Linked DNA regions of Caenorhabditis elegans. The protein of the gene in region 1 purifies or fractionates together with the protein of each later gene. This does not show direct contact. Each region holds a gene or a part of one and is shown on either strand. Other genes may lie near its edges.

The links.
Region 2: the proteins of F08D12.7 (region 1) and F59A3.8 fractionate together in Caenorhabditis elegans (co-fractionation; one large-scale study listed by BioGRID). This does not show direct contact.

What each region holds. Positions count from the first base shown.
Region 1 is NC_003280.10:2,766,579-2,771,217, forward strand, and holds F08D12.7 (T20D4.11-like domain-containing protein), read right to left. Parts: upstream 2,544-4,639; 5' UTR 2,540-2,543; coding exon 2,336-2,539; intron 2,280-2,335; coding exon 2,106-2,279; intron 2,048-2,105; coding exon 1,730-2,047; intron 1,007-1,729; coding exon 692-1,006; 3' UTR 672-691; downstream 1-671. Other genes in the region: F08D12.15 (F-box associated domain-containing protein), read left to right, coding at 53-652; fbxb-105 (F-box domain-containing protein), read right to left, coding at 3,216-4,134, 4,231-4,310; sdz-10 (F-box domain-containing protein), read right to left, coding at 4,596-4,639.
Region 2 is NC_003279.8:5,521,661-5,527,308, reverse strand, and holds F59A3.8 (Tyrosine-protein kinase), read left to right. Parts: upstream 1-1,968; 5' UTR 1,969-2,035; coding exon 2,036-2,186; intron 2,187-2,606; coding exon 2,607-2,791; intron 2,792-2,968; coding exon 2,969-3,344; intron 3,345-3,437; coding exon 3,438-3,589; intron 3,590-3,639; coding exon 3,640-3,967; intron 3,968-4,181; coding exon 4,182-4,348; intron 4,349-4,394; coding exon 4,395-4,613; intron 4,614-4,672; coding exon 4,673-4,786; intron 4,787-4,832; coding exon 4,833-4,874; 3' UTR 4,875-4,917; downstream 4,918-5,648. Other genes in the region: cpd-1 (Peptidase M14 domain-containing protein), read right to left, coding at 1-206, 361-472, 520-584, 683-986, 1,167-1,337, 1,387-1,466, 5,241-5,373, 5,416-5,510 and 1 more.

The DNA.
Region 1 (4,639 bases):
ACAACATCTGTCTACAGCTCCTTTTTTGTGCTCATTCGTGTCTCCTACTGTCATGACTGGCAGTTTCCCTATTCTTCGTCTTCCTAACAAAACCATTCAAGATGTTCTACAAAACATGTCCGTGTTCAATTGGGACTTGCAGTCTTGCGATTCAGTAACCGTCCCAAAGACTATGCTGGAGAATTGCATCAACAATGATCAACACAAGAAAATCACCTATTTTTCTCTATTCCCAGAAAGACATCTAATGCCAAATCATAAAATTCACTGTCTCAATTTGGGTTCAGTTTCATATGAGCTTCCTGGTCGCGGAAAAAATTTACAGCTGGACGATGTACTCCTCATGAACTGCTCCAAACTATGCCTATTCCCTTGTAAATTGTCTTCCCAGGAATTAAACATTTTCATTAGGCTATATATAGCTCAACCTAATCGACAGCTGGAAACAGTCGAGCTTCATCGAACTAATGAAGGAATCTGGAAGGTGGAGGATTCGATGAAAGGGATTTCTTATTCAATCTGGAATAAAAACCCCGGCAATAACCATAAACTTGAAAAACGCATCAAGTTCACCCAAAATGACGAAACAATGATGCATTTGGACTGGAAATTGGATAGTATACGTTGTTCTACTGTGATTACTATTGAATGAGACTTTTTTCAATACTTTTGACTATAAACCTTTTATTCATCAACACCCAAAATGTTTCTTAATTGTCTCGGCGGTTTTCTCATAATTCTCAACAGCCTTCTTCCCACACGAAGCTTCCATAACAGTCCTCGTGCATTCTTTCAGCTTTGTGTGCCGCTCACATGTTTCTTCTTTTTTCGAGCCCGCAATGTTATGGTCCCCGATGCAGGGGAACTTTTTTGCGGTCGGCTTGTCGAGCATCATCTTCCGTTTGCAGATGAAAAACTCGGTGCTGTAGAGCTCAAACCAGTCCTTTTTGCTCTGGAAGATCAGGCGTTCCAGGTCGTTGTAGGAGCATGATTTTGAGATGCATTTCTGGAATGAGAACGGATTTTGGAAAATTTGAAAATTTAGCTGATAGCTTATAGTTTACGTATATCAGGGATTAGCGGCATTTTCAATTTCAGCAATATGCCGATTTGCCGGAAATTTTCAATATTTTGCCAATTTGCCGATTTGCCGGAAATTTTATAATCCAGCAAGTTGCCGATTTGCCGATTTGCAGGAAATGTTCAATTCCGACCATTTACAGGTTTGCCGACTTGCCAGAAAATTGTATTTTCGACAAATTGTCAGCTTGTCAATTTGCCGATTTGCCGATTAGCCCAATTTTTAATTCCGGCAATTTGCCGATTTGCCGGAAATTTCAATTCCGGCAGTTTGTCGGTTTGCCAGAAATTTTCATTTTCGGCAATTTGCTGGTTTTGCGATTTGCCGGAAAGTTTCAATTCCAGCAAACTGCCGATTTGCCGACTTGCCGAAAATTCGAGCAATTTGCCGATTTGCCGGAAATCTTCAATTCCAACGATTTTCCGGGTTGCCAGAAATGTTCAATTTAAGCAATTTGCCGTTTTGCCGGAAATTTTCAATAATTTGCCAATTTGTCGATTTGCCGGAAATTTCAATTGCGCCAATTTGCCCACTTCCCGAAATTTTTCCGTTTTTTCCGGCAAATTCGGCAAATTATCAAGTTGCGGAATTTGCCGATTTTCCGGAAATTTTCAATGGTGTATACCACAATCAACGCTAAAATCTTGCCTCTGCATCCTCAAAAAGCTGCAGAAACTCCACCAAATTCGTGTCATTCGACTGTACGTCTACCCAGTTGATCTCCCGCTCCTTCGCCACAATACCACTTTCCAGAGCTTCACACTGAAGTTTATTGAACGCATGGTGCAGTCTATTGCAGTTGTCCTGAAAGCCTCCCGGCACAGTTGTGAGCACATTAATCAGGTTGTCATAGTTGAAGTTGGAGCTCAGGATGGCTACAGTCTCCTCGGAGCATTCCTTGCCAATGACCTGGAAGAAGCAGAACCGGCCTGATGTGTAGGATACGCGGCGAGCTGGGAGGTCGTCCTGGAATTATTTTAATTTTTTTTGAGTGCACATTTGAAATAAAAAGCTCCAGACTCACAGTCAAATAATCCCGTTCTCCTGTGCAATTGTACTTCTCATTATACACTGCTAAATAGAACTTTGTCATGCAAGGCTGCACATTTCCGGTCATCAACTCGAGCCCATCACAGGCATCCCTCATACTTTCATAGGTATGGGCTCCTTTTTTACACGTCGCTGCTTTAAAACACGTCTGGAATATATGAGAAATTATTGAAATTTCTGGAAAATCCGATATCTAAGCCTAACCTTAATATCTGTACACAAATCATTCATCTTTTTCAGAGTCTCGGCTTTGGGCTTCACGTGCTCATGCTTGCTGATAATCGGCCCAAGCTCTGCGACCATCAGGAGACACTTGTCCGAGTCGCACGGCTCAGTGGAGTTTTGAGAGCTCACCGGGCTCAGGGTGTACAGAAGTGTTAAGTAAAATGTTAAAGTTGGTTTTAGCATGGCTGGAATATAAATTCGATTAAAAATTCGGAAACACAAATCAAAATGTATTTTTATATCAAAACGAAATGTCTATCTATCTGTTTCTGATTTCTCTGTCTTCAAACATCACAACAAATTGACGACAGGTGGCGCATCCTCCGAGAAGATCTTTAAGCAGTGGGGGATGAGAGGGAGAGCAAAAAACATGTGACACATGTTCCCTGGGTGAAATTTGCCTAAACACTTTATAATTTAAACAAAAATAGAGATTTTTAAAGAGTTTTCCGGTAGTTTAAATTTAGTTGAGTAAAGCTAAAACTCTTAAAACGTTCAAAAGTGATAGGTCACATTTAAAAGAAAAATATTAATATTTATTATCACATTTTTTAATTGAACCTGAGTCATCTGTTTTTCAATAGTTTTAACATTTATTAGTGTATTCGATGCAAGTAGAAAAGCTTGGGCTTAGGCCTAGGCCTAGGCTTAGGCTTAGGCTTAGGGGGAAAAAGAGAGGAAAAAGTTACATAAAATTTAGAAGTTAGAAAAAAAAAACAAAAAAAATGAGGAAACAAAAAATCATGAATAATAGCCCGAACAAAAGAAGTGGCAAAAAAGTTTTGCAGGGTTGGAGAGTTGTAGAAAATTGTAGAAAATAAAAAGGTATTACACAGACCAACACAGTTATACAATAAAGTCAATAAACTCGCATTACAATTTTCTCAACTCCTTCAAATAAGTACGTCTGCATCGCCAACCTTCTTCCACAATTTTGGTATACATAGATAGTATCACCAAGTTGGTAGTCGTTTTCGTTTCGAGCCACAATTTTTAGCTCCGCCGAGTACACCGAGTGAGAAATTCCTTTCAACAAAATTTGCATGTTCCTGGTCGCTTCAGCACAAACAATGCCGACAATTTTGAGCCTCCGATTCGATCCACTAATCAAGTGCCTGATGAAAATGTTCAACTCTTCGAAAGACAGATGATGAGCGGAAATATTTAGTTGGGAGACGTTGGTGATCAATAAATCATTTAACGTGAGAGCTTCTCTAGTATCATCTTTGGAAAATGAAACACGTTCGAAGTGTCGAGTAAGTACTTTATGCTTTTGCATGGACGGTTCAATGTTGAATGATAAATTAAAGGATATATCATTGCTTTGGACATTGGCGACTACACTCTGGACAACAGTATCCGAGCAAAAACTAAAAAAAATTGTCTCAGTTTTTAGTTCCTTCACTGCATTGCTCAAACTTATATAGTGCTCTTCATGACCTATTCTGGAAATGTAAATTTCGTGAATCCTCGAGCAATTGAATATTTCCATAACATGATCGATCCAATCCCGAAGTTTGAATCCTCTTTTCACCCATACTCTGTCAGACTCGGGCTCCAACGGTGTCAAAGTTTCTGTGGCGGTTACTGATTCGCAACTCTCAAAATTCCATCGACCATAGTCTTTCTTGAAGAAAACCAACGAAGTTACTTCTTGATTGTGTGACAAAATATTAATATCAATTGATAAAAATGCTTTGATACTAATTTGTTGAATATCATTCTTCAGGTGCATTACATGAGACTTTGTTGCTTTCGAGCATAATGAGAATGCTATTCTGAAATTATATAATTTTTGCAGGAATGAATTTAGAATTGTCTATAGACTGGCAAGACTGCTCCAAATTTAAGAAACCTTCCTCCCAAAAACTCACAAATTGCACGTTGACATATTTTGAAGAACGTCTCGAATATTCTTGTTGGGGAGACAAAGGACTGGGAAACTAGTGGCCATGACTGCAGGAGACACAATTGAGCACAAATAAAGAAAAGGAACATTGAACAGATGTTATTTTTGATCGATAATCAGATGGTGGCTCTGACTCTTGGGAAGGAAAACGGTCAACTCAATCAATACTTGCTATTTAAAAAAACCATGATGAATCGGTGTAAGGAATATTTGTTGTTGTAAATATTCAAGACTGCCATAAATTAAATCTTTATTGATTCAAACAAGTTGGAGAAAACAGCAAATGCTTATTCATAATTTAAAAAATAGTTATGCCAATAGATTATCATTTCAACCGCAACGAGCATCAATTTTCAAAACATATTTACGGTCAT
Region 2 (5,648 bases), on another chromosome or scaffold:
TGAAGATCATCAACTCTCATTGCTGTCTTTGATTCCAATAATGTCCGTTCACATTGGATTGAATTGCCCAGAGCTTTTAGAAGAGATTCATCCATTTTCGCTTTGTCGAATAGTTTTGGCTCATTTTCAGACACACTGAATGTTGCTGTTTCAACGATTCCCTTACTGATTATCAATACTGCTGCCGGGTCGAAGTCAGTGAGTCGCTGAAAAATATAACAATTCATAGAAATCCTTTAAAAATTATCTGAAAGCGCAGAACTTGACTGTATAAGCACATATCAATTTTAACTTTTTTAAAAAGTTGTTTAAAAAGCTTGTTAAAAGTAATCCACACATGGGAAAAAGAAAAAAACTAACTCCTTTCAATTCACCAGTCATATTTGGAATGAGCATCAATGATACGTCCTTATCGATTACAAAATCTCCTGTACAAGTGAGACGAGCCAGTTCGTCGACAGCTTTTCCTCCGCTAATATTGATGAAACATTACAAGATTTTCAATCAAAGAAAACTCACATATCATCAAATGAGAGTACTGCAATCAAATTCTTTCCTCTTCCACGAATATACATTTCTGATTTCTGAAAAAATTGTTTCCATTTGGAATAATACACTTTATCTTTAAAAATATGTATGTGAATTCCAATTCCATATTAGCAGAAATATCTCATTAACTGACCGTTTCATTATCGCCACAAGCCAGCAAAGTAATATCATGCCGAGCAGCTCGTGCTCCTGGAACAATCGTGACTGTAAACGTGTCAGATTCGAGTCCACGTGCTGATACAGTAATTTGATGATCGCCAGGTGGCAAAAGTCTCCAGTATTCTCCAGCTTCAGTTGATATAATATCTTTTCCAGTATCAACAGATATTGTGGCGTTGGCAACTGTATTATTATTTCTGTCAGTGACAAGACCAGTTACTCCACTTAATCCCATCTCCAGAAATGAGAGTAAAGAGAATTGGTGTTCTTCCCATAATCTGAAATGGAAAATATACACTAACAATCATAGTTTTGAGTTTTTGATGTAAAGATACGCCAAAAAGTTGATAACTCTGATTTACAGTCTAGGATTACTGTCGAATTACTGTTCGCAGAAAAACCTGGATATTTTGTGGAAAAATTAAACACTCTACGGTAAGAATTCCTGAAAACCTCACTTTGGCATCATATCATCAGTTGGAAACTTGAAGCAACCCATCTCTATAGTAATTTCCAAACAATTCGTGTGCTCGTATTGCCAGTCCTGCATTCCCCCCGCCAAATGATACCATCCGGCTCCATTTGTGATTCCATTTATAAAATTGTCACCATCAGCTGATAATCCACATCTTAAACATGAATTTTATAGTTTTTGACAAAAATCTTGGGCTCTATAACCTTCTTCCAGTTTTCCACATTTTGGTATGAGCCCTGGCGTATCGATAGCTGAGCTCTACGAAAAGCTTGTCATCCGCACTCTAAAAATTTTTCGATTGAATTGTTCTCATAAATCACAAGAGCAGTATGCGCCCTCACAAGACCATTTCTCGTAATTTAACGTTTTCTTTCATATACTAAAAACAGAAAGATAAGAGCTTGGTCAAGTTAAAATAATAAAAACAGAGCGGATCCCTTATCTCAGTAAGCTACTGTAAAGAGAAATTTTTTTTTTCCAGATCATTAGGGCATGTTTGATATTGTTTTACAAATTAAGAAGAAAACTGCAAAAGAAAATCGGAAAAGTCGATAAAGAATAACAAATTCCACTTTTGAAAAAAGTTTGACTAGGTTCCCTGTTTGAATTTCCTCCAAACTGAGACTTGATTCAAAAGTGGGCACGACTACTCAATTTAGAGAAAATTCAAACACAGTATTGAAAAATCAGTGTTATTTTAATCAAATTTACCGTGAACTCGAATCACCACGCGATAATTATACAATTATCTTTTCAACTCTGTGCAAATTCACCAAAAACCAATTATTTCTAATTAAAAAGTTCTACGTGTCTGGCTTGAGATAATCATTCTTCAAAAATCTATTCAAGCAAATGGCTAGAAAGGGAACGACTCCATGGCACGAGAGCCGCGAGATGCACACACAAGATGACGCCGATTCTTCGTTGAAGGAGCAGGAGAAGACGACGAATAAGAAGGAACAGACCACTGCGCCACCGGAAAAGAAGTTACCGACTATTCCAGGTATACTAAATTTTCTTTTTTAAATCATCAGGAAACACCCAGACTAACCCTACACCTCAACGGCTCTGAAAAAGTAGGATGTAAAATTAAGATGAGAACGGAGGCCCCACCTGTTGGGTGAAACTGTCAAAAACAGATACACGGAACTGGAATATATTTAAACGTGTGACAACATTGCAATTATTCACGTGAATATTAAGAATACCATTACGTGTTAGAAATGTAAACTGCTTGAGGGAGTTGCATGAACATCTTTTCGTATATGGAAAAGCAGAACGAATTGCACATAAGGGCGCTGAGTGGGCAATTTAATATGCCCGTCACCCCTCGGTTGAATATAATTACCTCTTCTAGAGGCTGTGATATTTTGAAAGCTTATATCAAATTTAGTACCAAAACAAAACAAAGTATATCATGCAGGAAAACTCCCGAAACGATCTGTGGAGCCGCCAGAGGAGTCGCGAGATCAAAAACCGGCTGGAAACAAGCCCAATCTGAAGAAGTCTCCATCTAACCCAAGAATTCCGCCAGGAGGAAGCCATCCTCGAAAGAAACCAAAAGTGCCGAATCGAGACCCAAGTGGGAAACATGTGAATAGCGACAAGGCAAGTCAAATTCTTATTTTCAAAGTTTTTCCTACGTAATTGAAAGAGTTGCAAGATATTTGCCATGTGATGGCCGTGTTTAGCTAGTAAAATATGAAATCTGGAACAACTAACTAGCAACTGAAAAACTAGATTGTTTTATCCCCAAATCAATTTAAATTGTTGTTTTTTTTTCAGAAGAAACCTTCCGCTGAAGCTCACGACAAAGAGTCATTGTCATCCCCTCCACAAACTGACGCAGGAAAGGAAACAACCAAAGAATCTGCATCGACATATGGGGCGTCTTGGAAAAGTAGCAAACCAACGCTGAAAGCTGATCTGAAAGCTATGGAAGATTACATCACAAAAATGCCGAATTTCCATGGATACATATGTCGAGAAGATGCTGCACAGATTCTGAAGCATCCTGGTGACTGGTTGGTTCGATTGTCGGTTCCACCATCAAATGATCAAGACAAGAAGAACAAAGCGCAGAACTTGGCAAAAAGTGTTGAGAGGACGAAGGGTCACAAGAGTACAATGCAGAAAGTCTTTGTGATCTCAGTTCTTTGCAGTGAGTTTTGATGTCAACAGTCAAGATATGGGCGAAGCCAATCTAGATTTGTTTTGAGTTTTAAAAATCTTGTATTTTTTGCTATAATTTCAGAAGGAAAAGCTCTGTCTCCAGCAAAGTCCAATAATCGAAACTTGGTTATCAAGACAAACAATGGAAAGTTTTCAATTGACTCTGTCCATTGGCTTGTGAAACTTAAAGACCTTTTCTCCCACTATCAAGGAACTTCAGCAGTTCATAAAAATGTAAGTTGGCATGACGTGAACTATCATTTGAATCAATGTACAATACACAGGGAGAATTCCAACTCTTGAACCCAATCAGCCTCTCAAAATGGGAGTTTCAACATGAGGACACGGAACTTTTGGCGAAAAAACTTGGAGAAGGTGCATTTGGAGAAGTTCGAGTCGGTCGGTTAACCACGAAAGATCCGAAGAAAAAGTTGGTGGAGGTGGCTGTGAAGATGCTTAAAAGTTCAGCGGATTCAGTGACACGTGATCAAGTTGAAGAATTGCTTCACGAGACGAGAATCATGCGGAAATTGGATCATCCGAATGTTTTGAGATCTTATGGAGTTGCAGTTTTACGCGAACCATTGTATTTGATGATTGAGTTGTGTTCGAGTGAGTTAGTACCTGCTATGGGTTCGGAGTACTTGAAACTGTCCAAAATTCATGAATCTCGCAAAAGGGATATGAGATCTTTTTAAATCGCAATATTTGAGAATCTTTTTAACCTAGCATAATTCCAGCCATCTAAATATTTTTGCATTTTGGCCACTTTCGAGTATTTTATAATCCCCATGCACACTTTCGGAATTCAAAAATACAATTTCAGACGGAGCTCTACGTGAATATCTCAAAGAAAATCACAAAACGATCACTCTTGCCGACAAGATTAACTTCGTACTAGGTTCAGCTCGTGGTGTTGCATATCTTCATTCTCAACGGATTCTACATCGAGATTTGGCAGTTCGCAATATTCTTCTCACTGAAGATAAAACTGTATGACATCGCGGTTAAAATTTGACTTTATCAAATTATTTTTCAGCCAAAAGTGTCCGATTTTGGTTTGGCTGAATTAACGGATAGATATGAAATGAAAGAGCATTGCAAGATTCCTGTGAGATACTTGGCACCGGAGACTCTAGAACTCTTCATCTTCACTCCAAAAACTGATGTTTTCTCATTTGGATGTGTGATCTGGGAGATCTACGAGAACGGACAACAGCCTCACGATGGGAAAAATGCACAGACTATTCGAGCTCAGGTACTTGAGCATAAGCTCCTTCTTAAACCCGGAAAAAAAACAAAAAAGTTGTACTTTAGGTCAAGAAACGAGAGTTCCTGAAACTGTCGAGTTCGGCACCGGAAGCACTTCGACGACTAGTGGCTGAGAAGGTTTTTGTAGCGGATCCGGAAAACCGATGCTCGATGACTTCGGTAAACATTTAAAATTCAAGTAATAGCAATAAAAAATGAATTTCAGATAGTGCAGTGCGTGGAAACTGCGGAGAAGACTGTGAAGTAGCTTATTTTCGATTCGGTTTATAAATGAATGTGTTGTCTTGATAGAGGTTGAGAAGAACAAGCAAAGATCAGGGATGGGACAAAAAAATAATATTTGAATTGAAATTTTTACCACATATAGGTAATAATTAAGGGTTCATTTAAAGGCTACCATTTTTGAAAAATTCTGGTTCAAGGGATCCTTACAACATTTTTGGTTTTTTGAACCAAAAAAATCCCAATTATGTCGCAGAAAAATTTCGAAAATTTTTTTTTTTTTTTGGGTTTTTGAAAAAATCCTGGTTAAGACCGGACACCTCGACCGGGCATAGATAGGTTACAGTACTCACACAATCAGACATCATCCTTCAAACGAATCAAAACTCACAGCAGTATAAATACCATCTTGGCCAGTTACTGAATCATCATATGGATAGTTTGCAACTAAACTTCCGCCGTGTAAATTGGTACTTAATACAAACGGATATGCTTGAAGCCATTTCATCACAGCTATATTTTCCCTGAAAAGATGTACGGAGTTGAAAACTTCAGTGTAAACTTACTTTTCCGGTTCAGAACCACCTGATGTTTCTCGATGACTTTCGAATTTCGTTGGGAAATTTCGATTTAAATCCACATCGTTCGCGTTAGCACGACCCTGAAAATACAATAGAATAAACCGACAAAAACTCAACAAAAATAGAATACCATCGCAGAAATTCTGTCTCCTGGAAATCCTTTTTCATATCCATCTGGATTCATTGATGGCATTAAATGAATTCGCGCATTGTTCACC